Notamacropus eugenii: one gene and its partners. The protein of the gene in region 2 purifies or fractionates together with the protein of the main gene of each other region. This does not show direct contact. Links are inferred from orthologs where the notes say so. Each region holds a gene or a part of one and is shown on either strand. Other genes may lie near its edges.

Region 1 (8,025 bases), on a different chromosome or scaffold from region 2:
TATTTTCCCACCTCTCCCCCTGCCCTGAATGATGTTTAACTTCTGGTTACCCAGGTTGCAAGTCTTGGAGTTGTTCATGATTTCTTCCTCTCCTCTCTGGATCCTGTTAGCCATGAAATGCTGCCCAGGCCTCTAGGACCCACCGTGATTGAGGCCTAATACCTTCTGTCCCATGTATCCATCTGTGAGCGATAGCCCTGCCCCAGGCCTGGCTGCCACTCTGCATGGGCCTTCTCGGGTGGCTTGTGTGCCTTTGGGCCCTGCTTTCTGCCTGCGGGAGGGCCACCTCCCCACCTTCCCTCCCCAACCTTGAACTTGGGCTTGTTTTTTACTTAGCACAGCCCCTTAGTGCAAGTGCTTAATGATGGCACAGATCTTATAGATGCTTCTGCCTTTTTTTTAACATCCCAGTGGAAGCCTCTTCCTTTCCTTTGAACTTGATTTGAAGTCTGTGTTGTGGCCTGTCTGAGTGGGACTTTGTGTGGATCCTGCCCTCTGACCAAGCATGGATCCCTGGGGCTCGCTTCACTCGTGACATTCTGAGTTGAAGTTAAGCTCTTTGGGGCCAGGCCGGCCCCATCCAGCTCTGCAGTTGTCACATGGCCTATGACACTCTGGGTACTCTGCCTCCATTGAGGCTGACTGTCTGTCTCTACGGTATTTCCTCAGCCATCAGTATGGTAATTGTCCAAAAAAAAACCCCAAACCAAATGAGATGAGTCTCTCATGCCTTTTCCTCCTGAAGCCATGTTGGCTTTTCGTTCTCACCTCACCATTTCCTTTGTCAAGGACATGTTCTAGAGAGTTGTCTTCAATCAACTAGGCTCATGCCTAGACCTTCTCCCATCCTTTCTTTGCTTCTTGCCGTCTCCTGCCGTCTGATCTTTTCCCCAGTGTGTCTGCTCCCGGGGAGGGCTGCCTGTGCAGGCAGGCCTGAGGAAGCTGGGTGCTTGCTGATTGTCCCAGATTCATCTTTCTTGGGTTTCCATTTGGGTACTGTTCAGCCTGGAGGTCGTTCTACCTCTTCTGTCTTACGATTGTCCCATTCTGATGCTGGGGGCAACAGAGGAGATCCACAGGAGATCTGACACCAAAGGAGACTGAGGCAGCCTATCAGAGATCCCAGGGACCTTCAGGGCTAGTGCTTCTAGCCCCTTGAGTTGGGGAGATGAGAGCTGGCTTCATGTGCCTCCCCACCCTCCACCCCCCATCCTAGGAAGGGCCCCAGGACACAGCCTCTTCTTTCATTCTGTGACCCTTGACCCTTGTTCCCTGTGTTGCTCTGATTCAGAGTCATTTTTGGCAGAGGTAAAAACCTTGTAACAATGCTGTCCATTTCCCTCTTCATGTCTGTTCCCTTCACAAACTCCCCTCATCTTAGACCTTTTCATCATCTGGTGCTATGAGGCCCTTGTCTCTTTTGGAAAGTGCTGTCTTCTTTAGTGTGTTCTCTGACACTCTGTGTTCCTTCTCTTGTCCCTGACCAGGCTGAGGAATAGCTGTTTTCCTTGCTCTTCCTTCTCCTTTGCTGTTCCTATTGAGCATGCTCTCCTTCTTCGGTAGCATCGCCTCCGTCACAGACGTCTGTTGGCCTCCAGGTCTCGGCCTCTCTTCGTCCCCACTCTTGCCCTCCTCATATGCTGGCATTCTAAGCTCATGCCAGTGATGGCCTCCCTTAAATCTCCGCTGTCAGCCCCGGTTGCTGCCTCCAAGCAATCCTGTCATCTTTCCCTCTTCCTCAATCCTCATTCCCCCCAGAGGGGCAGACAAGACATTCTCCAGTGGCCGTGGCATGGCCTTGGTCCTTCCCTCTCCTGCCCAAGCTGGACGCATCTTCACCCTGCTCTCACCCAGGGCCCTGTAACAACACCTTTGCAGACCCTGTTTTTAGTCCCTGCCTCCTGATCCTGTTGACAGTTGTCTGTCATCCAAACCCCGGCCCTGGGCTATGAACCCCAGGCTTGCTTGCTTCACTCTGTGTTGGTTATTTCATCTGTTTTCCCCTGACCTTATTGGTTTATTTAATTTATTTTTCCCATCTCCCACTCCCTATGGCAGCCATTCCACATGTCTTCTTTCTTCATCTTCCCTTCAGCAGAGATGTTCACCCATCCTTCCCCTTTGTCATTCACCCCCAGCCCCCCACTTTCATTCTGTGCTCTTCTCCTTGCCAAGCCTTGAACCCCTCTCTTCATCTCCTGCACACTTGTCCCATGAATGGTCCCCCTCCTTTCTCCCCGCATCTTACAGGCTTGCCTGGGTCTCTTCTAGGCTTGAAAAGACTCTTCACTGCAACTTGTTTCACCTTCCTCTCCTCCTTAGCCTTTGTCACCTGGCTCCCTGCCCTGCTTCTCCCAATAGCACTAAATCTAATGGTCATTTCCTCATTCCTCACTCTGTGTTCTCATTTGGTAGTACTGGATGCCCTTTCCTCCTTGGCCTTTGATTGCTAGACCCCTGGGAAGCTGGGGCTGTACTTGATAGTGTCATGGGTCACATGCCAATACTTATGCTTTATAACACAAATAAAATTCTGCCCTACCTATGAAACTTTCCCCTTAGCACGTTAACCTCTCCCTTCAGACTTGGTCACATCACTGCTGTCTTTGTCCTGTGCTCATGGTGTCCTTTGGTTACCTGGGATTGTCTTTTCCTTTGCTGGATGGTAAACTCCATGAAGGCAGGGACTGTGTTTGTCAAAACACCAGATGTGCTGGAGTCTTTGCGAAACGTGCCATCCTGATGACATCAACTCTCTCCCCTCCCTTTCTTTCTCCTTATCAAAATGATTCCCAGCCTTCAAAGACTATTAGCCTTAGTTTAGGGTCTGCTCTGATGGTCTGAGCCTAAACCTGGGCAGGCCTGTTGAAAACAGCATAGCAACAGTAGCTAGCATTTAGAGAGCTCTTAACAAACTGTAGCTCATTTGCTTCTTCTCATAGATCTTTGTCTATGGGCCACTGCTTGAGGGCATGCCCCAAATCTTTGGCACCTCCATTTCCCCTTTTCGGAATAGACAGAGCTGTAGAGACCTCTGCAGATGCTCTCGGGTTATGCTTGCCCTCAGAGATTATTTGGCCTTGGAGGGTCTTCACTGTTGAAATTGTGATGCTTTGGTCACATTTCCTGGGATCTGCGTAGGAAAAGATTCTGGTGGTTTGGCCTCTTGGATCTGAGGCTTTGGGGGCAAAATGATTCTTTTGTGGAGACCTGGAGAGAGGGGACGGGCTTTAAGACATTGGAGCAGGGAGGTGAGGGCAACAGTCCTCCCACCCCCAGCAGCTGGGAGGCCCTGAAGGGACTGCTTTCTGTCTCTTTGTCTGTTCCTCTGGGGCTCCTGAATTCTCTTCCCAAAGGCAATATGCTCTTTACTGTTTTCTCCAGAATCCAGGAGGTTTAGTCACATCTGAGCTCTGGTCTTCAGATCATGATGTGTAGACTCCCTTCCTTTGGTCCTTTTTGGTAACTTCTGCAGCAAACTCACCCATTCTTCTTGGGCAGGATGATTCTGTTTTTTGTTTCTCTTTGGAGATTATCCAGTGACAAAGCAAATCTTGGGGAGAAGTACTGATACCATGCCAGCCTACACAGGGGCCTTGGCGAGGCTTCTGTCCAGGCCGACCTGCATGGCAGGCGACTCCATTGCTCAGGCTCAGTGGACGTAGGAAAGCCCAGGTGTCACATTAGGGTACATGGCTACGCTGAAATAGTACCTGTCCATCTCAGATGGAAGTTCTTCCTCACTGAGGGGAAAACTTGAGAAAAACCCTCCCTGAGACTTTGAATAGCAGCTTAGTGCAAAGATTACTTAGACCTTGAAGTCCAGAGTCTGAGTTTCTGATTTCACCCTAGATACTCAGCAACTCCTCCCTCAGAGCCCGGGCAGTGTCACTGGGACCCAGAACCCTGACATCTTGGGTGACTGGGACAGGGCAGGGTGGCTGCTCACTCAGTCTGTGTAGGCCACAGGAAGGGGCTTTGGGACTGGCGAGCTATAGAGGATTTGAATTTAATTATTGGTGTGGTCTGTTCTAAAAGCTTGTGCGGTGTTGGAACAGCTGGTACAGCAGGGTGCTGGGCTTGGGACTTGGCCTGGGGGTGGACTTTGGTGGGAAGAAAGTGCTGACTGAGGCACCCTGAGGTGTGGGCTGTGTTGGCAGCAAGCTCCTCTGTTGTGCATGTTTCCTGTGCTTGTGTCCTGTACAGGCACTAGGGGGTGCCAGAGTGCATAGAGCACTGGGCTAGGAGGCCCATGTGGCCTCAGACACTCCCTAGCTGTATGGCTTTGGGCAAGTCACTTCACCCTGTTTGCTTGTTTGTTTATCTGTAAAATGGGGCTCACACTGGTACCTACCTCCCAGGGCTGTTGTGAGAATCCAGTGAGGTATTGTAAAGTGCTTAGCCTAGTGCATGGCACTGAGTAAACTGGGGCCTAGGTAAACGTCAGCTGTCAGCATCACCAGCGTCGTGACTGCACTCATTCACTGTCCCCTTTCCACCAGGGCCTGATGTGAGCTGGGAGCACTGGAGGGGAATTCTCATTGTCAAACCCACTATGTCAAGATTTGGAATTTGAAGAATTCCATCGAGCCATTTATGAAATTATTCAAATATCACACAAATGCTTGAAAGGATATTGTCGTCTCCTCTGTTGTAGGAAGTACAGATTGTGTTTAGAGTAGGCGGGAGATTCAGTTTTTTGATTCTGCTTTTCAGAGGTTTTCCCCTCCCCATTGCTGCGTGTTTGGGTAGAATGTAGTAATTGTGCTCACCGGTACTCTGACAGCTTCCTCTAGCACATTTGATGGCATTATTTTTCCTTATTCGAAGGGACCTGGGCTCCTGTTGAAAAGTGCCGGAATAAACTGAACTCTGCACCTGGCCCCAGCCCAAGAGAGACAGAGCGAGAGACAGGCACCCTAATGTCAGCTCGCCCAGGAGGGAGTTTCTCAAAGAACTCAGGGACATGTTTGCAGTAGTATGCTTCTTCATTATTTCATCTTTTTTTTAAATTGAGTGATCAGCTAGTAGCCTTAGAAATGTGTCTTTGTTCACTTAGTGCACAAATAGAAAATTTGGTCGTTTTCAGGTGTTTTAATGGTGGCCGAGTTTCTGTCACAAATACCTTCACAGCAGGGAATTGAGTCCCCTAACAGCTTTATTATTTGATGGTAAAAAGGCTGATTTGATGAAAACAAGTTGTTAGAGAATTGTTAACATTTCAGATTATACCAGTGTTGTATGTGCCTATGCGTGCCTGTGCGTGCCTGTATGCATTCCTGTGGGCGTGTTGTCTGCCCGTGCATGTGTGGGTCCGCTTGTGCGTCCATGTGTGTGTCTGTGCATGCATTCTGCTCTCAGAGGCAGGAGCTTCTGCTCTAACTTCTGCTTCTAGGAGGAGTCCTTCCTAATTGTGCTCCAGATTTTTAGAAGTAAAAATTAAAACTGAGGACTGGGAACTCATTGATGATAGCTTCTGTCTTTCTAAGTAGCACCAATGATTATTGGTATCTTGATGTGAAAAATTAAGAATTCTTGGACCATTTAAAGACTGCCTTACAGAATTCATTTCCCTTTGAGAAAGTGATTCCTTTATCACAAATTGTGGTTTGTAGCCAACTTTTCTGGAACAGATCAGTATTACTAGGTAAAAAGAAAAAGTTCATTTGAAAACTCAAGCCGAAGCTTTTTAGCAACTCCTTCCAAGATTGAAAGTGGCCTGAATGTGTCATTTTAATCTATAGGCATCAGAGTCAGATTTAAAAATCTAGTTTGTCAGTAACTTGACATCAAGAATGGATATTTTTATGAAGTTATTAAAAAAAACCAAGGCATTACTAAGACCTTTCTATGGTGGTTGCTGTGGCCAAATCCCACACTCTCCTGCCCCTGAATTGGCATCTAGCTTCTCCTGTGAAAGACCCTCAATCCTGGCATTGGGCCTGCCCTCTGTGCCTACCAAAGAAGAGCTAACATTTCTGTAGCAGTCACTGTAGCCAGGCACCGTGCTAAGCACTTTGCAGTTGTCTGATTCAGACTCCCGGAGTCAGAACAAACTTGTCCAGGTTCACACGTTGAGGAAGTAACTGAGGCTGGATTTGAACCTCAAGTCTTCATGACTCCAGGCCCAGTCATTTCCACACCACAGTGAGACTTCAGAGGACTTGCGAGACTGGTCTAAGTTGGGGGCCAAAATTCTGAATAAGTGGGCCCCACAGATTGGATCTTTTAGCCTAGTTCAGCAGTTGGCTTTTGTGTTTAATGCTTTGAGTGGGGCACAAAAATCACTGAAAACTGAAGACTCAGTAGCAGTTGCTTCTAGTGCACTCAGCCACGAGAAATCATGGTTTGATGTTTGTGATGAACAGTTTGGGGAGAACTGGTGGTCTAAGCGTTGAGGAAAATATTTTTAATTTAGAAGAAATTTCTGTTACTGTCTTAGAGGTCTAGAGTTCCTGTGGGACTTGTCAATAAATGTTTATTAAATGCCTCCTGTATTCCAGGCACTTTGCTCAGTGCTGGGAGTGCAGATTGAAGTAAAAAAAAAAAATTCCTCCCCTTAAGGAGTTTACACTCTAGGGGAGCGGTGCAATAAGACCTGGGGGAAGGCTAGTGGAACAGCACATTTAGGGTTAGCACGCTGAACCCCTCCCTTAAATGGAGGCTGAGTTTGTGGGTCCCACTCTCCAAGCCCCAGGACCAAGACCTTCTGGGATGGAGATGTTATTTCCCTGGTGAGCTGCCTGGGGAGAAATGAGAAGTTTGTTCCAGTGTGTCCTCTTTGTTTCAGCCACAGATATCTCAATGACATCCTGAGCCCTTCAGACTTCTAATTTCTTGGTGGCTGAAACATTTGATCATTTCTTTCACCTCCCTTGGGGGGGATGGGCATGGCAACCAGCTGCTGGTCTCTAAGATTCCTCCTTGACATCCTTTGCCTGTCTCCCTTCTTTTTAAGTCTTTTAGGCCAAAATAAAATAGTAAAGACAATGCTTGGTTTCTTCAGATTTTTAACCTTTCACAAATTTAGAGGTATTAGAAAATAATCCTGAACAAAACAGTAATTAGTGTGTTACTGATATAAAGGAACTTGGGAAAGAATTTATTGTGTGTGTGTGTGTGTGTGGGGGGGGTGCTCTTGAAAGAGAGTGAGGATGTCATGGCTGCCTTTGTTTTACATGAATTATATTGTCAGCTAGAGACTGGTTGCTGTTACTTTTTTTTGTCTGTTTCAAACAATCATTTCTTTAACCTGTCTCTCTGTCCACTTTTCTTTCTTCATCCTGTTCCTTCTCCAAGCAGAGAGCCTTAGTTCTTTGTGAGCTCAAGCAGGACTTGTGGCAGCTGAGTGTCCCAAGAAGCATCCTTGTAGCCAGATGGGGACTTCTGCAGGCCCTTTTATCTCAGGGATTGGAAGTTTGGGCTTTGGCTTGTTCTCTTACACTTCCTTGTGGGTCAACTGTCTTTGACAGCACCAGATAAGGCTGAGAAGGCAATGGGTATCAGGTGGGCCCGGTTTGTAGTCCCATCACCTCTGAGAGAATGTTTTCAGCTGGGAGTGATTGTGCTATCTACCAAAGCCACATTCTAGGAAATAGTTACCATCTTACAAAGGCAGCTAGGTGGTGCAGTGGATAGAGCACCAGTGCAGGAGTCAGGGGGACCTGAGTTCAAATCTCACCTCAGACACTTGACACTCACTACTTGTGTGACCTTGGGCAAGTCACTTAACCCCAATTGCCTCATCCTGGGTCATCTCCAATCATCCTGATGAATATCCGGTCACTGGATTCAGATGGCTCTGGAGGAGAAGTGAGGCTGGTGAGCTGCACAGCCCTCCCTCACTCAAAACAAAGTCAAGTGCGAGTCATGTCATCATTTCTCTGATGGCATGGTCTTCTTCGGTAATGAAGGACTAATACACATACCATCTTACAGCTGTCTCTGTCAAGGAGCGAAGGATGATTCTGTCCTTAATATGCTTTGATGGGGTGATGATTTGTTATTCTCCTGATAGTGATTGTT
Region 2 (7,027 bases):
AAAAGCCAAACTAGTTTAAAATTAAATTAGGGATTTAATTCAATTCAACAAAAATTTATTTGAACAGCTGCAGCACTTTGTAAATAGAAACAAGGGGGAGTTGTAAAATTTAGGTAAGAAACAATCCCTGACTTCATACAGTTTAGAATCTAAGAGAAGGATAGAACATGATAACAGATACAATGATAAATAATAATTCTTTATCAATTTAAAGTTTGTGAAGCACTTTACAATTGTTATCTCATTTTACTTTTACAACAACCCTTGGTTGGTGCTATTATTATCCTTATTTTATAGATGATGAATCTGAGACAGAAAATGACTTGCCTGGGTTCACAAAGTAAGTGTCTGGGGCTAGATTTGCACACAAAGTGTGCAACTACACTAACTACAGGTCAAATACTCTAACCACTGCACCGCCTAGCTGTCTCTATTACATATATACAACTACAACTATAATACAAAACAACCAATAATTAACCTAAGTGCATAAGGGAGGGGAAGAAAGGAGGGAACATTTATTAAGCTCCTACCATGTATCAGGCACTATACTAAGTGCTTTATAATTTCTCATTTGATCCCCATTACCCTGTAAGGTAGGTTCTATTATCATCCCATTGTACAGATGAGGGAATTCAGGCAGGCAGAGGTTAAGTGATTTGTCAAGGTCACAAAACTATTAAGGACCTCTGAAGCTGATCTGAATTCAGATCTTTGAACTCCAAGCCCAGAGAGTAAGGAAGTATAAACAAGGTCTCATAGCTGATATACAGCAGAAGTTAGACTCAGATCCAAGTCCTCTAACTTTAAATCAATGCTTTTTCCACTGTACTGGGGAAAAAATAAGAAATCAATTTGGGGTTTATTGAGTTTGAAGTGCCAGTGAAAGGTCCTGTATAGACTCATGTAGAAGGACTCATGTATATCCAGAACTCAGGAGAAGCCAGGAGTGGAACAAGATTTGGGTGTCATCTGTATTACAGTAATGGGTGAAGGTGTGGAAATGAGATTGCCAAGAGACAAGAATCAAGGATAAAATCTTAAGACACTGAGATGAAGAAACAGAGAAATTAGAAAAGTAATAACACTAGAAATGGAAGTCAGAAGGCCTCAGTTGCCATCACAACTCTATCACTAGTTACATGTCTACAGACAAATCACTTCACTTTTCTGGTGCACACTAGGATAGTATTTATATAATCGGCTTCATAAGAGTGTTATGAGGAAAATGTTTCATAAGTTGCAAAGTACTACCTATGCAAATGTGCACAACTGTGATTACTGAAACAATCTTTTGACTTCTCATTTGTTTCTAGACATCTTGTTTAAAAATAAGTTGCCCATAAATTTCTTCCAAACAAAATATAATAGCTTATACTAATTGTTGCACTTAAGTGTAAATTTCACGAACTGAGCAGACTTACAAAGCAAAAGAAGCAAGACTCCTCTTTCTTATAAGAACAGAATTTATACATTTTACCTTGATAAATTCCTTTAATCTCTCAAAAAGGGAAAGAAATCTGTCTACAGGTTAACCAGTTAGCAAACAGCTGATCAAAGTTTACTAAGTAAACCAATACTCTGGCACTAGTCCCCACCTGTAAGCACAAAAACTAAGCACTACACATAGAAACCACTTAGAAAAAAACCTCCAATATTCCAGAGATTTAAATTCCTTCATTCTCAAATTACTAAAACATGGCAGTATATCAGGAACAACTTGGGGGAGGGGAGAAGATTAAACTTTAAAAACAGCTAAAAGAGGCACCAGTCAATCAATAAACATCTAATAAGCACCTACTATGTACCAGGAACTATACTAGGAACTCAGACACTGGAGATACAAATATAAAAAATGAAACAATCTGTACCGTCAAGGATCTTACATTCTAACAAAAGAGCTTATTTTACCACACCTTTACACAAGTATAACAAGCAAGTAAGTTTGTCCTGTTATGTCTTATAGGCAACGTCAATTTGAGGCATGGGAGAGAAATAAGGAAATATGGTTTATTTCACTTTCCTGAATTAAATTACAATGTCTATCTGCTATCATATTTTAACAATAACCTAAATATTGTACACTCAAACTCTGCAACAAAGTAGAAAACTTTTTTTCCCTGCAAGTATCGTTAAGTCTAAAATGGGGCTATCATTAGCCACTCAATCAAAACAAAGCAAGTTGCTACAATCTGAAGCAGAGAGATAAACGCTTGATCTTAACAGTCCCGAATCTTCAAGGATCAGAAAATGGCTATTCCCCCTTTAAGGAGAGAGCAACAACAGTAGAATCACAAAAACTCTTGGTCAGAAAGGACCTCAAAAATCACCTAGTTATACTGTAACTAAACATAAATTCCCTCTAAATCCTCCTGAATAAATGAGCTTTATTACCGTTTGCTTGACAAAATCCAGCACCTGGACACTCGCAACTTATTCAGGGAGCAGACTCCATTATAAACCTGTTCTATTTTTTTAGGGAAGAGGGAACAGGGGTTGAACCTTTGACTTGGTGTACAGAAATCCCAGAAGAGGAAACTCCCTCTACCAATTTAAGTTGGCACCTTCTCTGCAATTCACTGTCTTAAACAGCCGCCTGAGCCCTAAGATGTTAAGTGACTTACCCAAGGCCACAAGCACTGTGCATGTCAAAGACTCTTTTAAGACTTAAACCCCCGATCTTCTCGGCCCGAACCCCCACGTCTCTGCCCCCTTTTCTAATTTTCAGGAAATCTGAAAAATACGCCACTTTGAAAACCTGTACCCACTTGTTCCTACTTCTGGTCCGTGGAGTCAGGTAGAACAAGTCTAATCCCTCTTCTCCAGGGGACAGGGGACGGAACCTTCAGTACAAACAGCTATCAAAACCCCAGTCTCTAAAAACTAGAAGATCTTCAGAAGTTATCTGAACCCACTCATACCTGAGCAGCAATACCTTCTACAGCTTCCCCAAGAAGTTGGGCCAACAAGTCTCTATTGGAAGACCTCCAGAGAAGGGGAGGTCTGAGGTGGCCCATTCCACTTTTGGTCAGCTGTGGTCTGGCAGGAAGTTTTTCCTTACATCGAGGCGCAATCGCTGCAACTTCCATCTACTGCTCCTAAGTCTGCTCTCGGGGGCCAAGCGGAGCAAGCTCGATACCTCTCGCACATGACAACCCTTCAAACACTTCAACTGTAACTTTCCCCTTAAATGACAGAATCAGAGCATCTCAGAACTGGAAGGGGCTCCAAGAATCACCCCGCAGAACCCCTTCTGGAGCAGGCACGTCCCCTGCCACATCGCCGATGGGGGACCACACCGAGAGAGGCACCCCCAGGTCTCAGCTGGGAACCGCCAGGCGAGCGAGCTTCAAGATCCGACCTCAGGCCACTGCCTACGCCCCCTTGCCCCCGTCCCCACCCTCACCCCGTGCCAAGCTCTGCCGCTGACTTCGGGTGTGCCCACCCCTCTCTGCACCTCCGTTTCCCCATCTGTTAAAATAACGGAGAAGCTGGACCAGACGATGTCTCAGGGCCCCTCTAGCTCTGACTTTCTGTGGCTACTCCCCCCTTCTCTGCAGCTCGGCTCCAGAGCCTGGTGGGGAAGGGGTGGAGGGAAGGGAAGAGGCACAGAAGCCGCCGGGAGGCAGGGAGGTGGCGCTGCCGGCGCCCCCGCTCCCCGGGGCTCCCGGAGCTGACAGGGGCGGGGGCCGGGACGGAAAGAAGGAGGGAAGAAGGGCGGGAGGACTCTCAGCTGCACCACTCCCGGAAGGCGGGGGACTCCGGAGTCAGCGCCCCGCGGCCCCACCGGCACGGCCCAGAAGCCCGGCCCTTACCTTCAGGTCGTTCTCCGGCAGATACTTGCAGAGCCGCGCGATCTCCACATACTTGTCCAAGTCCAGGGGCGCCATTTTAGGAATAACAACCCGCAGTGGCGGCGGCGGCGGAGAAGGCCGAAGCCGGAACTCTGTTCAACGTCACTTCCTGTAGACGCGCAGCGTCTCTGCGTCAAGGCGTGAAAGTTTGCCCTTCCGCTTCTTCTTTCTGCCAGCCCCTACAGCCCTACTTCTGAATGGCTCAAGACGGAGAGTCGCGGGAGTTACACGACAGAGACCTGTGCGTCTCTGGAAACATACCAGGACTCGCTAAGCCGCCTGGGATTTGTAGTTTCCCACATCTAGCAGCGCTTCTTATACCTCTGGTTTATGCACATAAACGCGCTGAGAGAATTGCACATACACCTACATGCAGCAGGCAAAGGCCGCCTTGTCTCGTGCAGGGGATCGATGCTGAATTGTGACGTGGGAGAACCTTCTCTGGACAGCCAAGCCATGGAGCCCTCCCCCTTGCCCCTCCCCGCCCTGCGTGATTCTCTGTCCCTCGCCCCCCTTTTCCTCGAGCCCCCCAACTCACAGCCGAGTTCATACCCTGGCCCCTTCCTACTTTTCCAGGCTTCCTCCGCGTTATTTTCCACGATCCAGTTACCACGGCTTCCTTTCTGTTCCTCCCACCAGACACTCCATCTCCCGATTCAGAACATTTTCGGTAGCGGTTCTCCTGGTCGGGAATGCTCCCCCTCCTCACCTCCACCTCCTGCTTTCCCTGGCTTCCTTCAAGTCTCAGCACAGATTCCACCTTCTGCAAGAAGCCTTTCCTGCTCCCCTTTATTGCTAGTGCTTTCGCTTAGAGATGACATGCAGTTTATCCTGTCTGTATCTTGTCTGTACGCAGTTGTTTGCAGGTTGTCTCCCCGCTAGACTGAGCTTCTAGAGAGCAGGGGTTATTTTTTGTCTTTCTTTGTATCTCCAGCGCTTAGCAAATGCCTGGCACATAGTAGGAACTTGTGGGCTGACCGGCTGATCTCCAGGTCCTGGGGAGGGGAATCCTGTCCGCGTCATAGGCCTGGGGGTGCACATAGGCGCGCCGGGTGTCCTTCCCGGCTGCACTAAGCAAGACGACAGCCAAGATACGGGAGGAGACGGACTGACTGAGGACCGGGATCCCAATCCAGGCAAACCAGTAAGTGGTTTCACAGAAAGAGTCCTAGGAGACATGAGACCTGGATCTCAGCCCCGTCTCTGGCCCCGTGCTCTTTATGGGACCGTGGACAAATCACTTCTCTCTGGGCCTCCGTTGTTCTCATCTTTAAAATGAGGGGTTTACCCCATATTATCTTCAAGTGCCCTCCCAGTTCCGACATTCTACCCATTCTGCCCAGCCTGCCAGTTAACGTCCCTTCTCTGCGTCTCAGTTTTTGCCTCTTTAAAATGAGTCAATTGTACTAGATGCTCCCTAAAATCTCCTTAATCTCTAAGTACGCAGACCGAGTACTCTGGATTCTCTGTGTATGGCTAACCCTCACCGGAAGGATCTGGACTACTCTTGGACAGAAGAGATGGTTCTAGGATTCTGTGATTTTTTTTTAAGAGAAATATAATAATAGTTGACATTTCTATGCCAATTGACAATTATATTTAAGGCTTTTAAAGCTTTGCATTTATTATCTCATTTGCTCTTTAAAACAGTCCTGTGAAATAGGGATTAACACTATTATTAAAATTTGTGGATCATCTAAAAATTGCATAATGTTTACCACCCCTTGAATCCTTTTTTGCTACTTTGCCAAAATCACTTTTGAAGTGGATAGGGACCACAAAGGACTGTGGCCTTTAGGATCTTTTGATCAGTCATTAGATTTTCCCACTATTTACTGACTCTTCATGACCCCACTTGAGGTTTGCTTGGCAAAGATACTGGAGTGGTTTGCCATTTTCTTCTCTTACAGATGAGGAAACTGAGTCAAACAGGGTTAAGTGACTTATCCAGTGTGGCACAGCTTAGTAAGTGTCTGAAGCCAGATTTGAACTCAGGAAGATGAGTCTTCCTAACTCCAGGCCCAGCATTCTATCCACTGTACCACCTAACTGCCACCACCTAGGGGCAGCTAGGTGGTGCAGTGGATAGAGCACCAGTGCAGGAGTCAGGAGGACCTAAGTCAAATCTCACCTCAGACACTTGACACTCACTAACTGTGTGACTTGGGCAAGTCATTTAACCCCAGTTGTCTCATCCTGGGTCATCTCCAGTCATCCTGATGAATATGCAGTCACTGGATTCAGATGGCTCTGGAGGAGAAGTGAAGCTGGTGACCTGCACAGCCTTCCCTCACTCAAAAACAAAGTCAAGTGCAAGTCATGTCATGGAACACACACATTAGATTTGGAATCAGAAGATCTGAATTCATATCCTGTTACCTCCTACATTTGTAACCTTGAGCAAATCTCCTTCATTCTGGGCCTCACCTTTAAAATGAAAGCCTCAGACTTCCAGCTTTAAATGCTCTGATTACTAAAGATAAAGGTGTCTGTAACAGACTCTGAACTTCTCAGGGGAAAAAATGATTCTAGTTTTGTGATCTTAGGTAGCATGGTGCTGGCCTGGGCTACACAGGTTCAAAGTCTAGCCCTAGCAATGACTCATTTGATCACTGGCGAGATGCTCAACCTCTCTCTCTCTTACCTTCTCCCCCTTCATCATCCTCTTCCTCCCTCCCTCCTTCTCTCTCTCCCTCCTCACTCCCCTCTCCCCTTTTCCCCCCCTCTCTCCCTCCTTCCCTCCTTCTCTCTCTCTCTCTCTCTCTCTCTCTCTTTCTCTCTCAGCATCAGCTTCTTCAACTTAATGTGAAGATAATACATACTTCTTCATAGAGTTGTTTCAAAGAAAGAGCTTTCTTTGTAAATATTCCTCGTGAATAGAGATCATTTCATTTATTATATTTGCGTTCCCAGCACCTAGCACAGTACCTGGTACATAGTAGGCACTAAATAAGTACTTGTTTATTGATTGATTGATTCAATCTTAAAGTACTATAAAAATGGAAATTTCATTATTATGAAGTCTTTTAACTTTTCTGACATTCAAGGAAACTATGTAACAATATTCCCAAAAAGCCCACTAAATATAAGGCCTGTATTTGGAGCTAGAGAAGAGTCAAAGTTTAGATGATTATAGAATTCAAAAATCAGAAGGCACCACAGAAGCCATTCAC
Region 3 (7,232 bases), on a different chromosome or scaffold from region 2:
ATGAACTCAAGAACCAATGGACTCCTTGCTGTTCCTTGAGACAGGAAATTTCATATCTCATCATTCCAAGCATTTTCATCGACTGTCCCTCAAACATGGAATGCTCTCCTCTCCTTCCTTATCTCCACTATCTAGCTTCCCTGCTTCCTTCAATTCTCAGCTAAAGCCCCACCTTCTGCAAAAGTCTCTCTTAGCCCTTCATGTGAGACCCAATTTATTCTGTATATATCTTAATTGAAAATAGCTGTTTGCGTGTTGTCCACCTGATTACAGTGTGAGTTCTTTGGGAGCAGGAACTGTTTTTGTTTTGTTTTGTAGACCTTTTGTTATATCCCCAGAGCTTAGCACAGTGCCTGGCATACAATGTTAGCTCAGTAACTATTATGGCAAGTATCAATAGCATCAACTCACATAAACAAAAGCTACTGGAGGAAGGTCCTCAATAATCTTTAATAAGAGTATAAAAGGGTTTGAGAACCACTTTAGAGAATAAGCTCTATGATAACTATTTTGGATTCTCAGAGGATGTCTCTAAAAAGAGTCCTATGTTGCATTCGTGATGGCTGAAGTCACTGAACTGCTACTGTACCCAAGGATATATTCCTATATAAAAACTGTCCAAGAGTCCCTGACTATTACAATTGAGAGAAATGAATATTTCTCTCTCATATTAATAACCAATCTATTTCATCATTCCCTGTAGGTCATTCAATCAGTTTTAAAGGGCAGGACTGATAAAGAGATGAAGTCTTGAACAGACACATCCACTGGGAAAACTCAGATCTGATCAAAAGGTGAAGAGATTCTAATCCAGTAAAATCTGGCCCACAGTGTTTTAGTCAGTCAAGTCTGATTGCCCTAGGTGGAGGTAGTCCAGATAAGAGATCTGTCCAAGATTGAGTGACATCCGCCAGCCCCTCGTTCCAATTAACTGACTCTTATTATAGTATTAATTCATTAAACCAATCAAGAGTTGGTTTCCAGCCTTAGCAGCACCTAACTCTTCTTCTAGGGGCATGTAAGCATTGAGTGGGTTCTATGAGAGGTCTTTGGCAACTAAGAGTGCAACTGACCCTTTTATATGTCCCTTAGACTTTTTATATGTCACAAAATTCAAAATTGTCCTTCTTACAATTTCTCTAAATCTTATCCCAAACATATCTAATCAATACCAAACTATAACCTGTCAAAAGCTGCCTCAGTATTTAGGAGGGCAAGGAAACGCAATTCAATTACCATTTAATAAAGCCTCTATTATATTACAAGACACTGTGATGGGTGCTAGAAATAAAAAAAAAAAACAACACCCTACTCCATGTGCAGGGGAATCTGTTGTGTATTTCAATACTTCAATAAATCTGTAATTCCATGGATATGGTATGAACCTTCATGGTATGAACCAAAATGCACTCAGGCTTTTCATCCTATGCAATTCTTATCCATTGTCTTCAACAGATCCTCCAGAGAAGAGCCCTATTATATGATACAGATCTTTTTACATCTTCAACATATCACCAGAAGATGTGAGTTATCTGTTATCCCTTACGTTCCCACCTACCATCATTTCCTCAATTGATATCCACTTGAGCCAAGCAGGCAGAAGTCAAGACGGGAGAAAAATGAAATATTCTAAGGGAAAATGTGAGGAAGAAAGTCCACTTCACTTTCAGAATACGCTGAGATTTGTTTTAAGAAACCAGTTGGAGGGCTGGCTACTTATAATTACCTAGAAATAAGGGTACCACCTCCCATTTCATGTCTGGTGAGATGTATTCTCAACATTGCCAATTGTACAAGTATGCAGAAATCACTGCCTAGGAATAAAATTTGTGTTGGTTGTTCTGGGGCATTTTTGGAAGGGGGAGCAGGTTAATTTTGTTAGTACATGGAACTCCCAGTGTGAAAACTTACTCCAACAACTCAACTCCTAGTTTACATTCCCAACAGTAACACTGACAGACTGAATGATTAGCGTCAAAAGCAGCATGTGGATAATGACAACGTAAGAGATGCTCTCTACGAAAAATGTCTGTTTTGAGTTGGTATTTTTTTATGCATCCTTTTGTTCTGGGTCAGAGCCTGCGCTTTCTTTCACTGTGGAGAACTCTCCCTACCAATGTACACAGACAACTCCTCATTTATAGTCTAAAACAGTAGCCTGAAACCACCAGCCTAGAAATACTACCCAAGAATAAAGTTTGGTTTTGGTTAGTGTTTGTGGTGGTGTTTGGGGCTCCTGGGGGAGGGAGCTTCCAGAGAAAACTCCTTCTCCCCAATGCAAATGAGCACCTCCTAATCTACAGTCCTAAATAACTGGCCCCATGTAGCAAGGCTACTCAGGCTCAGGGGCTGGACAAGAATCCGGGTTTTCTGTGGATTGGGGATGCAGAGCTGGAAGATGCCGAGCTTTGCCGTCTGGCCTCTGGTCTACAGTCCAGACGACATGTGACCCAAGCCCCTGCACTTACAGAGGTCCGGCGCTCCTTCCCGGACCCACGCGGACTTAGCCCGCCCCAGACTCCAGGGCCAGGGGGCAGCGGGAGGGGGCGGGGGCAGGAGCGCGGCCCAGAGTCCGTCAAACCGCGGCCGCGCACGCGCACTCGGAGCGTCCAGGGCAGGGCCCCGCCGGCAGTTCTGCAGCCGCCCGAGGGAGGCCTCGAGGTCCCGCGGGGGCGGGGAGCGGCCCCGAGAGCGACCGCCCCTCCCCAGTGCTGCTCATGCCCGCGCCCGCGCCCGCGCCCGGCCGCCCGGCCTCGACCTCTCCTCCCCCGCCCTCCCCAAACCTCACTTCTCCACATCGGCCGACTTCATGATGTGCGTCTTGGCCGCCGTCAGCTTCCACGGCCCGAAGGAGAAGTCCCGGCGACTGCTCTGGAAGCCGTGGATCATCATGGCCACGGTGGTGGCGCGGAACCAGCGCGAGCCGCGGCGGCCTCCCTTCTCCCCCGCCCCCACCTCCCCCTCCTCCCCCGAGCCGTTACCATCCCCGGCCCCGCCCCGCCCCGCTCCGCTCCCCGGCCCGGCCCAGCCCAGCCCACTGCCTGGGCCCCTTGCTCCTCCCGCCTTCCTGCCGGCCCGCCTGCCCCCGCCTTCTCCTTCCGCTTCCGGGAGCAGGTTGCCTGCGCGACGAGGCTGCGACGCGCCGGAAGTCCTAGGAAAAGGAAGGAGGGGCGGGGCTGGGGGAGTCGAGAGGCGTGGCCTGGACCCGGGGAGCGGGCGCGGACTTGGTGGCATCATGGGATGATGTCATCGCCAGCCTTTCCGCAGGCGGGGGGCGGGGCTCAAGAAGTAGCCTGAGGTGCTGGGTTTTCATTGGTGCAATTTCCCTACCCATCACTTTCCTTTTTTTGTTTGTTTGTTTGTTTCCTATAAAATGTGATCTACGGAAGCTTCCCCTTAACTTCCCAGAGGAACGTTCCGAGGTCCGTTTGTTCTCCAGGCCCAGGATGGAAATCAGGCTCCGTCCCTTTGTCAGGGTCCAGAGGGGTAGAAGCCCCCAAGGACTGCCCCTCTACAGCCTGGCATCTCCCTGGATGCCCGGAGGGAAGGAGCGAAGGCCAGGCGAGGCTGAAGCTGACTTCGTCTTTTTGGAAGATGCCCACGGCTCTGATTATGCGGACAATCCAGAGAGGTTCCTCTTAAGCACGTGGTTAACCTAATGAAACAAAGTAACAAAACTTTCACACGCGATTACGTCATCCTGATTCTCCCATAAGTAAGCCTGTAGCATCCTCCATAGGGAGAGGTGGCCTCGAGCCTTCCCCCTAGGAATACTGCCGTGGAGGGTCGGTGGGGCGAAGGGTGTTGCTTAGACACAAAAACACATGGATTTTATCCAGTTTACTAAGTTCCTGGGGGATTTAGAATTTTCTTATGCCCAGAAGTCACAAGACCAGAATGCAGAGGAACTCTAGGAGGAAATACCAAAGAGGGTCTGTGGGCAGAGCCGGTCCACCCCTCCTCTTCCACTGAAACGTCAGGGAATGGCCAGGAAAGAGCATTGCCCATCATAAAAAGCAGGGTAAAGAAGTGAAGTTGACACCTCATGGGGTGGCTGAGGGTGGACCAAAGTTGGAAAAGATGGTTGGTTCAACAAACTTGGGTGAATTGGACAGACCACTGGAACCTAGTCCGAAGCACTTTTCTCTTTACCCCTCTGAAGCATTGCCTGGGAGGAGTCCCAGGCTATCAGTCCAACTACTTATCCTCCCATTTCCCCTTGTACAGTTAGGAGGGAGAGTATAGGTAAAGGGGAAAAGATTCAGTTCTCCCATTGCAATATTATAGCCTATTAATCGAAGGAATGTTTATTTGAATCATATGCTAGTTGGAACTGCTTTTAAAGTGGATAGTCATTTACATTGATTTTTAGTCCAAGTCATTAAGTGCATACTTTGGAATTGAAGGAGGGGAGCCAACTCAAAAGAGAGAGATTTTCCTCAGCTCAGAGTGAGATGGGAAGCAAACCAATTATTTAAAAAAAAAAAAACTGTAATAATAGTCATCTTTGAGATATCCACAACCTACTTTTCTTGGGAACCCAGAAAGACAATTAACAGATAAATGAGCCAGTAGCAATGAGAGGTAGAGGTTGTGGTACAGATAATTAGGCTGCACAAGTACGCAGCAAATCTATGTGGCTACAGAACCATGGAATATTGGAATACTCAAAGGTAGTTTAGATATCTGGCCCAAATTCCCATGCAAACACATGCATTCCTTTTAACACTATTCCTGAAAGATGACCTAGTCACCCAAACTCTTTTTTTAGCTCCTTCAGTAATAATGAACTCCTTATCCATTAACAGAGCTGTGAGGCATGTTGCTTGCAAAAGAATAAGACAGTAACTGATAAACCCGGGAAGGCATTTTATTTTGTCCTTTCAAGAGCAGGTAATCTAAACATAGGCACACTTGTTTAAGGCAAATATACAATATTTATACCTCACCCCAATTCCCATTTCTCTCCCTTGCTCCCATTGGTTGGCAGTAGCTGGGTTCCCAGTCTATCCCATGATACTTAAAACTCCACCTCTGATTACACTTCACATTTCAACCCCCCATCACCACATTCTCATTTCCTTTATATTTTGGCAAGTCATAAATTCTTTCAAAGGAATGGCCTTAATTGATGTACAGTCTTTCTGGCTGACTTGAAAATTTGGTTAAAGAGGCAAACAGGCTAGGTGATATCTTAATTGAATAGGTGGTAAACACAATAAGATAAAAGAGTTGACAAAGTGTCCATTGAAATTACAACCCAGGATATCTGCATTTTCTTTACCATTGACATGCTATATAACATAGTATGGGTCCATAAGATACTAAGAAAAAGTCCCGTTATCCAAGATAGCATCTCAGGTTAAGGGTCTCATCGTTAATGGTCATAAACAGAAAAAATGGCTGTTCTTAAGTCAGCCCCATCTGGCCTTGTTGACATAGGAAGAAGTATTCTCTGAGTTTACTCAGAGAACAAAGAAGCTGTTAGGTCCAGGTTCTTCTTCTGGTTGATTAGTCCAGGCTCCGACCCTTATTGAGAATTCAAAATGATATTAAATGATTATCACTGGTGTTACAGATATTACATAAGTTCAGTTCATCTCTTACAGAGCCTATTATATTGTTAGACAGGTTTAACTGTTAGACTGTTCATTCTTATGTTGCACCACAATCTGCCTTAAAATTCCATAAGCAACACAGACTAAATCTCTTTTCTCATATTACAAATATTCAAATGTTTGAAGACAAAAATCATGCCCCTCCCAAACTGTCTTTTATCTAAGCTAAAAAAATTGTAAAAGCTCCTTAAGCTTTCAATGTTGAACGTTACTGCTCTTATATCTACTCATATATTCTTTTCCTCGTCCTCATTCTATCTGGTAGGATAGCTCCAAGTGAATGAGAGTTAGGTGAGGTTCATTTGTTTTATATCATACATAATGTAGTGGTAAGCCCAGATAAGGAATCCCCGACTAATTAGGCAGTGTTTACTGACTAGGGTGTGTGGGGATTGATGGTGGGGTTTCACAGAATCAAAGGTCATTCATTATAGCCTAGAACTGGAAGGTACAGGATTTGAACATACTTGTACCCAGCAATACAAACTTCCTCCAAAGATCGAGGCTCTGTTCACTATAATTGCAATCCAACCAAGAATGCCTAAGGCATTGAACTTGGAGTAATTTATATTTCTATAAAATATAGAATTCTTGATTGGATTGTGGAAATGTCTTGTGGGTTTAAAAACATGAAGCATGTAAAATTGAAATTTGGTGAAAATTTAGGAGTTGCCTACCATATGGTAAGCTCTTAATGAGGTCTATCTGAGTGGGGGAGCAAGGGGTGGAAAAGATAAAGTGGGGGCAGAAGAGAGGGAATCTCCTGAATTATGGCTAATATGTAATACAGGGCAGGTGGATGAGTGGCTAGGTTATGAGCTGGGTAAGCCTGGAGTTGTTACATTTTCAGAAGAAATCATATCACTCAAGAAGAGGATAATGACTTATGTCCAACAATACCTCAGAACCTTTTGGCATGCTTAGCAGCTCTAGTGAAAAAATTAAAAACATATGAATTTATGGGATGATGGGGACAGAGGTCATACAAGGTAGGCAGGCATGGATAAGTTATGATCTTTATGGGAAGGATACCCACATGGATGTATTGGCTTGATTTTATTCAGTTGTTTTCAATCATGTTAAACTCTTGATGATCTCATTTTGGGTTTTCTTGGCAAAGATACTGGAGTGGTTTGCTATTTCCTTCTCCAGGTCATTTTACAGAAGAAGAAACTGAGGCAAACAGGGTTAAGTGATTTGCAAAGTCACACAACTAGTAAGTGTCTGAGGCCAGATTTGAACTCAGGAAGATGAGTCTGCCACTCTGTCCTGGCAAAGGCCTTCTTCTAGTCAAAGAACTGGATCTACTTATTTGAGGAGGTCCCACATTCTTCTTGAATCAGTTTCCCGCCTGAAGAATCTCTCCATTGAAGATTGGTCATTGACACCAATTCCCACTTGCAAGCTGGCCACAATACATCAAAAGAAAGTTTGTTTATTGTTGTTGTTGTTTTTAAAAGGAGGGGAAATCACAAATATGTTCTGTAACAGGTATATTACAGTAACCCAATGTTCCACTTCACCAGTCCAAGGAGGCACCGCCCTCTAGTGTTCTCTGCACCAAACTTCTCCAGGCTGATGTCATTGAGACTCTAGAGTACCTCCTGTTTCTCT
Region 4 (7,918 bases), on a different chromosome or scaffold from region 2:
TTCCTCTGTCTTTGGAGAAATGGTCAGGGATTTTCCAGGAGAGATGTCTCCATCTGTCTCCCTGTGCCCAGCTCTGGGGGTGTGTAGACTGTTCCCTTTACCCATATCCAAAGTATCCTAACTCCTAGAATACCCAAAAAGCTGAGAATTTATTCTATCAAAATGCAAGTTTAGTCCACTAAATTTAAAATTGTTGAGAAGTTACTTTTGTGCTAGCCTCAGAGTGAAATCCGTGGGTTGGCATATTCTTGAATGTGGGGTAGGAGGTACTATGCTAAACTCTCCCTAGAAATCTCCGAAACAATTGAACTTCTCTCCTTCCCTGTTTTTTTCATCTGAAAAATTAAAGGAGTTAGATGAGATAAACTATAAGGTTTCTCCTGGCATTGTCCATGATTCTACAAAATTCAAGATTAAAGATATATGTCACACTTAGGAAGGAAGGGAGAGAATAGCAGCTAAAGACAGGGATAGAACCCAGTACTGACAGAAAATAGTAGCTAAGAAAGGGAATCCTGTTCTCCCCTCCCTCAGTTTTCCCAATTCTTCAAAAAGCAAGAAAGAAGGATTATTGGAGGAATTTAGGCTACTAAAAGAGATCTACTCTAAGACCATAGGCAGGAACCCCTAGAGTCCAAAAGAGATTCTGAATTAGATACCTGGGTTTTGTCCATTTAAGTCCCTTAGGTGGTAACTAGAGGTCTCAGACTCCCCTGCCCTACCTATCTCCCAAATCTGAGGGCATCTGTATGCAAGTGATTAAAGTACTAAAGCAACTTAGTTCTTCTCACTATTCCATCTTTTCCTAAGTCTAAGGATTCTGAAAAGATAGGTGGGGAAGCAGAATAGATAGGTCCCTTGGGGGCTTACCCTCCCAGTGGATCATTGGCAGCTTCCTGGAACACACTACCAGGCTCCCAACTATGTCGTCTGAAAGGATCACAAATGTAGCTTCGGGCCTGATGGGCTTTTGCTCTTCGGCGGAGCACTGGTTGGAAGCCATCTTCCTCTTCCTCCTCTTCTTCCTGAGACTGCCCGCTGGGCTCCACGGCTGACAGGCATCTCTGAGTTCTTCCTTGGGGCTTGGGGTCTCCTCTTGCCAGGATGGCCTCTGGGATTTTGTCATTCATGGAAGTGGCAGATGGGCTGGCCTAGACAGAAGACAAATAGAGGTTGGGGGAAGGTAGGCTTGGGTATTCTCCTTCAAGGGCCTCCTACTTTGGATGAGGAGAGGCAACTCTCATCCTTCCAGGCTAGCTTCCTAAATATCTTTCATTTTTGCTTTTTTTTAATGCCAGGGTTTCCAGTTACACCAACCAACTTTGGTTTTTGTTCCCCTGAGACAGACTTCTCTCACCTTATCAACTGCACCCTCTTTCAAATGAATGAATGAAAATAACTATATGCTAGTTATTAGATATAAATACAAACAAGTATGTTTTGACAAATAATTGATATGGCCTTTCTAGGAATGGTAGTGTTGATATGAATAGTTTCCAGAGCTATTGTTCAAAAGGGGTGGAGTATATTCTAGGTGATTTGGCATGGAGATGGGTTGTGAAGTAGCAAATGAGCCCTTCTTAGAGACAGGCACTTCGGTAACAGTGCTCATGCTAGATTATATCAAAGATCCATGAACTCTCCAAGGACTTTTGACATTGAGGGTGATGAAATCCCAATCCATGAAGCAATTCCAACCAATCCACCAAACCAATGCCTAGTCCACATTTTTAAGCCCTTTGCTGTGATGGAGATACAGGCATCTGAGTTTCCAGGGACTAATTCTCTAAGGATTACACCTCACTATCCAGTGAGATTTCAGGAGTGGTTATAATCTGTTGAAAGGCAGGAGGGTCATTCCCTCTGCCAGGACCATCAAGGGAAGGGGTATGAAGGTGGAGCATAAACTTCTCCCAAGTCCATTGGTTACCCCAGGGATCTCCTGAATGTCAAAAAGTTCTTCCTATCATCTATTTTCCCTCCCTCCCAATCCAGTTTGCCCACTATCCCTGGCTACATGCAGAAGCTACAGAAAAAGAGATTGTTGGCCAGTCATCTACAACCTTGTGACCCTTTACCACCTAAGGCAGACTCAGGCTTTTAGACTTCTGCAGCTGGTCTTTGTTCCTGACCAATGGAACCCAGGGATGGAAAGGGAAACTAGGTGCAGCCATTGTGCCTATCCATGTCCTTCCTATGCCAAGGAGATGACAAATGTGTAGCCAGCCACCAGAAGAGACTTTCTTCCTTCTCCATAGCTGGGCCTATGCCATTTGTACAAGCTGGCATCCGATCATGTTGGCAGCCAGGATAGGTATGTCTGAAGGGAGTGGGAAAGATGTTGAATAGCTCTGGGGTCAGAGCAGGACTCTCTGTCAACTGCGCACTTTCCAGAGAAAGGTAGATACAAAATTGTGTGGAACTGTGGCTGAGGGAAAAGGGACAGGAACTAGAGAGGGACTGGAGGGGGCACAAATGAGGAGAGAATAGGAGCTTTATTGTCTCTAGATGCACATGGAAATAAGTAGTGAGTCTCCACCCCTATCTCCACGCAGCTAGGTGGTGAAGTAGATAAAGTGCTGGAGCAGGAGTCAGGAAGACTGGAATTCAAATCTGACCTCAGACACTACTAGCTACGTGACCCTGAGCAAGTCACTTAGCCCTGTTTGCCTCAGTTTCCTCATCTGTAAAATGAGCTGGAGAAGGTAATGGCAAACCACTCCAGTATCTCTGCCAAAATAAACTCCCAAACCCAAATGGGGTCATGAAGAATTGGACATAACTGAACAACAACAAACCACCCCTATCTCTCTCACCTGCTTTTTCTCCCCTCCACCCCATAGCTCCATATCTAGAATTAAAATAGGAAGAGGCATGGCAAGCAGAAGGAAATGAACCGAAGTCTTTTCCTGTTTTCTCTCCCTTCCTGGAGACAAATCACCTGATCCCCTAGCCCTACAAACACAGCCCCTGATTCTGATATCACGGAGTTCCTCCCTCTTCCTTCCAAAGCCCAAAGTGCCCACTTCCCTGGTGCCAGTACCATGCTGGTCCATCCAGGGGAAGGCTTTCCAATTCTCTCTACCAGTGGTGGGATTCCCTCTGCTCACATTCTAGTCTTTCTGAAGATGGAATCCCCAGAAGTTCTTCCTCCCTCTGATGACACAGAGACAGGATTTAGAGTCGGAATGAATCTTAGAGATCACATTGACCAATAGCATCATTTTCCAGAGGAAGAAACTGAAGGCCAGTGAGGCATTTCTCAAGCACTGTGATGTGAAAGTCTCTTCTTACACTTCCAGAAAATCCTTTCTTTTGTCCCTGGGCTGTCACATAGAAGCCTCACTCTACTCTTCAAGGGACTGGGGTTTGGCTGCCTCCCCAACAGTACCAGCTCTTGGTAATTCCTTTCCCAAACCCTGGCCTCCTTGCTGCATTTCCTTTTCTGTTCCATGATCTTTATTCCTTCCAAAGACTCTCCCTCAAGCCCTCTCTCCCCACAGGCCTCCTGAGCTTAGGAAATGGAACAAGGGAGTAGTAGCCAGAGCTGGGTCTCACACAATGGCTTTATTTAGCTTCAGAATGAGATCATATCATGTCACAGTGCTGTTTCCACTGAGCATAGATAGGAGGTTCCGAAATAGATCTGAGTTGTTCAACACTTTTGGGGGTGGGGTGGGGTGGGGAAGAACCTCAGGAAGAGAGTAGGTCAGTTCATTCATCCCCTTCAAGGTAGGATGGTTCTCTTGCCCTGAAGGGTCAACATGCATCTCCATTTTCAAGCACCCTTTCAAGAACCATCTCTAACTTCAAGGAAGCCTTTTGGGTGTCTAACCTGCATCCCCTCTGCTGCAGTTAACAACTGAACTAGTCACTTGGTCAACATTCTTGGAGCAATGAGCAAAGTACTCAATGTTGAGTGATAGAACAGTTAAGAAGAAAAGAATGCAGAGGGGAGAGACGCATTCACTGAACTGAATTCAGGTTGAGAGGAGGGGGAACCTTGTCTCTAAATTGACCATGGTATTCAAAGAGGTTACCTGAGATACAAGCTTTTTGGAGGGGCAGAAGAGAAGTGAGGAAGCAGGGAGAAAGTGTCAGTCCATGTTGCAGTTGGAGAAAGGGAGTCCTGAGGAGCCTGTCCAAGGCAGAGAGAGCCAGGAATGGGGGTCTGAGTATCTTCAGCTATTACCTGAATTACATGATAGCGAACCATCTTCACAGAGAAAAGAACAGAAGACAAACAGACTGAAATTAACGCAAGACGGTGGGACAGTTACCCAATAAAAGGAAGAGACCCAGACCATGGAAGGAACAAGAAAATAATCGTTTATATTATGATTCTTTCCTAGGGTTTTACATACATTATCTCTGTGAGGTAGGGGCTATTATTATCCTCATTTTAGAGAAGAGGAAACTAAGACTCTGAGAAATGACTTAATTAGGGTTACACAGCTGGTAAGTGCCTGAGGCTGGATTTGGACCCAGGACTTCCTGATAGCACTTCCTGTCCAGCATTCTAACCACTGCACTAGGCTGCCCTGGGCACCCTGAGCAGAAGACAAAATGCCTACCCACAGAAACACTCTACCAGTCTGTCAGTCTGGCTTGGAGAAGGTGTTACTGGGTCCAGAGGCTGGCATTCCCACTTACCTAGTGTGTAGGGAGAGGTTTGGGCAGTTGAGAGGGTAATGAATGTAAATGAGAGTGTGTAGGTCCAAAGCATGACCAGCTTCCAGCCCCCAGTTATATAGCTGGAATGAAAAATGAAGAACTATCTCATACTAAATTAGGAGATAATCCCCTAAAGAAACCAAGCATGTCCTAAAAGAAATCAGGTAGAGACAGTCCCTCCACTCCCCAAACTGAAACATTTTTAAAAATTTTTCTGTCCATTCCATCAGTTTCCCTGAAAAGCTGGGTGGTGGAGCTGTGTTCCAGAAGTGTTTGCTGCCAGTAAATGCTGGGGTGTGTGTGTGTGTGGTGTGTGTGTGTGTGTGTGTGTGTGTGTGTGTGTGTGAGAGAGAGACAGAGACAGAGACAGAGACAGAGAGAGATGGGGGTAGGTACATAGAAGGGTTGGAAAAGAGAGGGAAACACAGGAGAGTAGAAAGATGATTGCGTCAAACTAATAACCAAGCATTTTACAACTGGGAGGCAACTTTGATCGTTTCTCAGGCCTAGGAGGCTCCTAGGAACTGAGTTTTAGGTTCTTAACTGTCTCTTCAAAGTAACTTTAAAAAAAAGACACCTACCTCCTAAAGATACCTATCTCTTCTCCCCCTCTTTCCCCCCCATCCCCTCCCCACTTCAGAAGAAGGAGAGGCTGGATGTTATGGTTTAATGGCTTCTTTACAGGCCTTATAGCTCTAGGGAGCCAGGGTCACAGACAGTCCTTTGATGGTTCAAAATTTAACTACACTTCTCCTCTTCTTGGGTAAATCATTAATTCAAGTCCTAGTGTGAGGACTAAAGCATTCATGCTTAAGTTAGAGTCTCTTCTAAGACACTTAGTGAGAAAGGTCCCAGTAGATTCTGTATTATCTCTACCTCCTATAGCACCTGGTGACTCTCCTAGCCTAGGGCTGACCCCAGGAATCCAGGGCTCTAATATTTCCTCCTCACTCTGGCAATTTTGAATCCTGAGGTTATTAGAATGCTGGGCTTTGTATGTTCAAGTCACAACCCCACCTCTGAGGACCTGAGAAGAATTTCTGACAAATCTTCGATCTCTACCCTGGGTATCCTGGCACCTAATTAAGTACTTAGCCCCAACCTCTCAGTCAAACACTGAAAACAAATGCAGACCCAATTCTGAGACAGGAAGAAGAGAGAATGATGGGACTAGGATCCCTAAATCCAGAAACCCAGCCACCTCCTGACCCCCAAAGTTAATGAGATGGGACACAGGCACTAACTCTGGAAGGTAGCAAGGCTGGGGATATACCAAGTACCCCTGCCACTGACCCATACCAGTTTCCAGGCTTGCCTCCAGCCAGCCACTCACTTGTATACTCTAGGGCCAGACTGATGAGTTAGCCACCAGCTCTCCAGCAATGATCTCCAGCAATTCAGTTCTGTTGGGAAGGGACCACAGCATCCCTTCACCTCCTAAGACTAACCACACATTCTCTTGCTATAGCGTATAACGGATCAGAAAGCAAGACATCTCAGCTTCTTCCCCTTCACCACAAGCAGCAGTTTGACAGGGTAAAAAGGTGCTGGGCTTGGGATCAGGAAAACCTGTTGCATTCAAATCCCATTTTGGACAGAGAGACCAGGGGGTAAATCACTTAATCTAAGCCTGTTTCCTCATATATAAAATGAGGAATAGTCATTATAGTACCTACCTCAGCAGGATACTGTGAGGCTCAAGTGAGACAATATAAACTGTTAAGCACTATGGCTATCAGTTTTCTTATCATAACCATTACTATTCCCCCCACCCCTGAGCTACCTTTACCCTGAGAGAGCAATTCCCTTACGAGGAACTAAGAGGTAGGCATGGTGGTATTCAGAGAAGAGCATATTAAGTTGGGAGGAAAGGGGAGAATGCCAATCCTCTTTCATTTAAGGCTGGTTTCTTGGCATTGATTCCAAATACAGTGGTAAAGAGGTAGGACAACCAGAGGTTCAGTAGGACACACACGAAGGAAGAGACTTTGGCCAGGGAATGGCTATCCTAGAACAGAATTTCCACCACCCCCATCAAGAAATTTCTGGAGAACAACTAGAAATAGGGCTTGGGTCCCCAAGTCATGGGGATATAATAACATGGGAGCTGGAAGGCTAGGGTCTCTGTTGCCTTCCCCACTTCTACCCTGGGAGGAGAGACAGTATTTGCTTGGGGGGAAGGGGAAAATGGCTTGATGGCTGAATGAGGAGCTCCAACAAGAAAACATACATCCCAAACATACTCCCACAGACACAATCGAATGTTAGAGCTGGGTGAAAGTCAATGAGGAGACAAAGGGTTTAGTGATTTATCAGGGGGCTAGAGAGGCTTCCTAAAGAGTACCACTTTTCTGGTTACTCCTGTTTTTAGACAGGAGCTTGGGTTGGAGGAAAGGGAGGAACAAACTCACCGTTGTTGGGGAACCTACTCCAGCCCCCTGCAGATGAGACTCTTTCCAGAGAAAATTCTCGCTCCAGGTGGCCTAAGCAGGTTTCTGTCCAATTCGGTACCTCAACTGGGAATCTTTCTCTGGAGCACAGTAAGAGGGTCTCTCATGGTCCAAAGAACAAGGGCAGAGAGGTGGGAGACTTGCTTGAGTCCAAACTAAGTGCCTACTCAACTCCTCCTGCCCTTACTATCTGCACTTATAAACACCAGACAGTACTGTGCCTGACTCCCTTAACCCCTTGAATTCCACCACTACACTGGGAACTCTGGAGTCCACTGCCCTGGGCACTTTCTGGGCAGAGGAGCCTGCCTGGGGCAGACTACATAAAGCCAATTAAAGTTTACCTGGGTCGGTGATCGGATAGGAGATTGTCCAAGGGACTCACTCTCCCAGAGGAAGAGGTGGAGCTTATAAAGGAGAGGCTAAAAAGGGTGGGATTAGAAGTGGTGACTTTAGGGAAGGGAGCCACTTCAGTATCTCACAGCTCAACCACAGGCAAGACTTCAATAGGGTAGAGACACATGCCTCTGGCCCTACCTGTCCTTTTAAGAGAGACATTATGGCTAGTGGAGGGGAAAGATTGTGCTTTCATCATTTAAAGGAAAAACACAGGGAGGAGCAGTAGCTGGGGCTGCTGTATCTGGGAAGGGCACTAGTTCCAGCCAACAGGAATTAAGATTGACCTAGTGCATGGTCACATAGCTTGTTGTGGATACTGTAGGGAGGATGTTGAGCTAGCTCCCCTCCCTGATAACAACCTCTCCAAGGGGCTGACTCACTCCCCCAGCCCCACC

The links.
Region 1: the proteins of PPP6C (region 2) and PPP6R3 purify together in Homo sapiens (affinity purification with mass spectrometry; 10 studies listed by BioGRID and IntAct, with this or other methods). This does not show direct contact. The link is inferred for Notamacropus eugenii from reciprocal best matches to the Homo sapiens genes PPP6C and PPP6R3.
Region 3: the proteins of PPP6C (region 2) and TIPRL purify together in Homo sapiens (co-immunoprecipitation; 4 studies listed by BioGRID and IntAct, with this or other methods). This does not show direct contact. The link is inferred for Notamacropus eugenii from reciprocal best matches to the Homo sapiens genes PPP6C and TIPRL.
Region 4: the proteins of PPP6C (region 2) and ARHGEF2 purify together in Homo sapiens (affinity purification with mass spectrometry; 4 studies listed by BioGRID and IntAct, with this or other methods). This does not show direct contact. The link is inferred for Notamacropus eugenii from reciprocal best matches to the Homo sapiens genes PPP6C and ARHGEF2.

What each region holds. Positions count from the first base shown.
Region 1 is NC_092873.1:20,815,242-20,823,266, forward strand, and holds the start of PPP6R3 (serine/threonine-protein phosphatase 6 regulatory subunit 3), read left to right. Parts: upstream 1-4,959; 5' UTR 4,960-4,966; coding exon 4,967-4,978; intron 4,979-8,025.
Region 2 is NC_092872.1:447,465,516-447,472,542, forward strand, and holds the start of PPP6C (serine/threonine-protein phosphatase 6 catalytic subunit), read right to left. Parts: upstream 3,155-7,027; 5' UTR 3,090-3,154; coding exon 2,922-3,089; intron 1-2,921.
Region 3 is NC_092873.1:478,322,414-478,329,645, forward strand, and holds the start of TIPRL (TIP41-like protein), read right to left. Parts: upstream 3,158-7,232; 5' UTR 2,893-3,157; coding exon 2,789-2,892; intron 1-2,788. UniProt on the Homo sapiens protein: May be a allosteric regulator of serine/threonine-protein phosphatase 2A (PP2A). Isoform 1 inhibits catalytic activity of the PP2A(D) core complex in vitro. The PP2A(C):TIPRL complex does not show phosphatase activity.
Region 4 is NC_092873.1:380,102,145-380,110,062, forward strand, and holds the start of ARHGEF2 (rho guanine nucleotide exchange factor 2), read right to left. Parts: upstream 3,063-7,918; 5' UTR 3,047-3,062; coding exon 3,044-3,046; intron 1,152-3,043; coding exon 871-1,151; intron 1-870. UniProt on the Homo sapiens protein: Activates Rho-GTPases by promoting the exchange of GDP for GTP.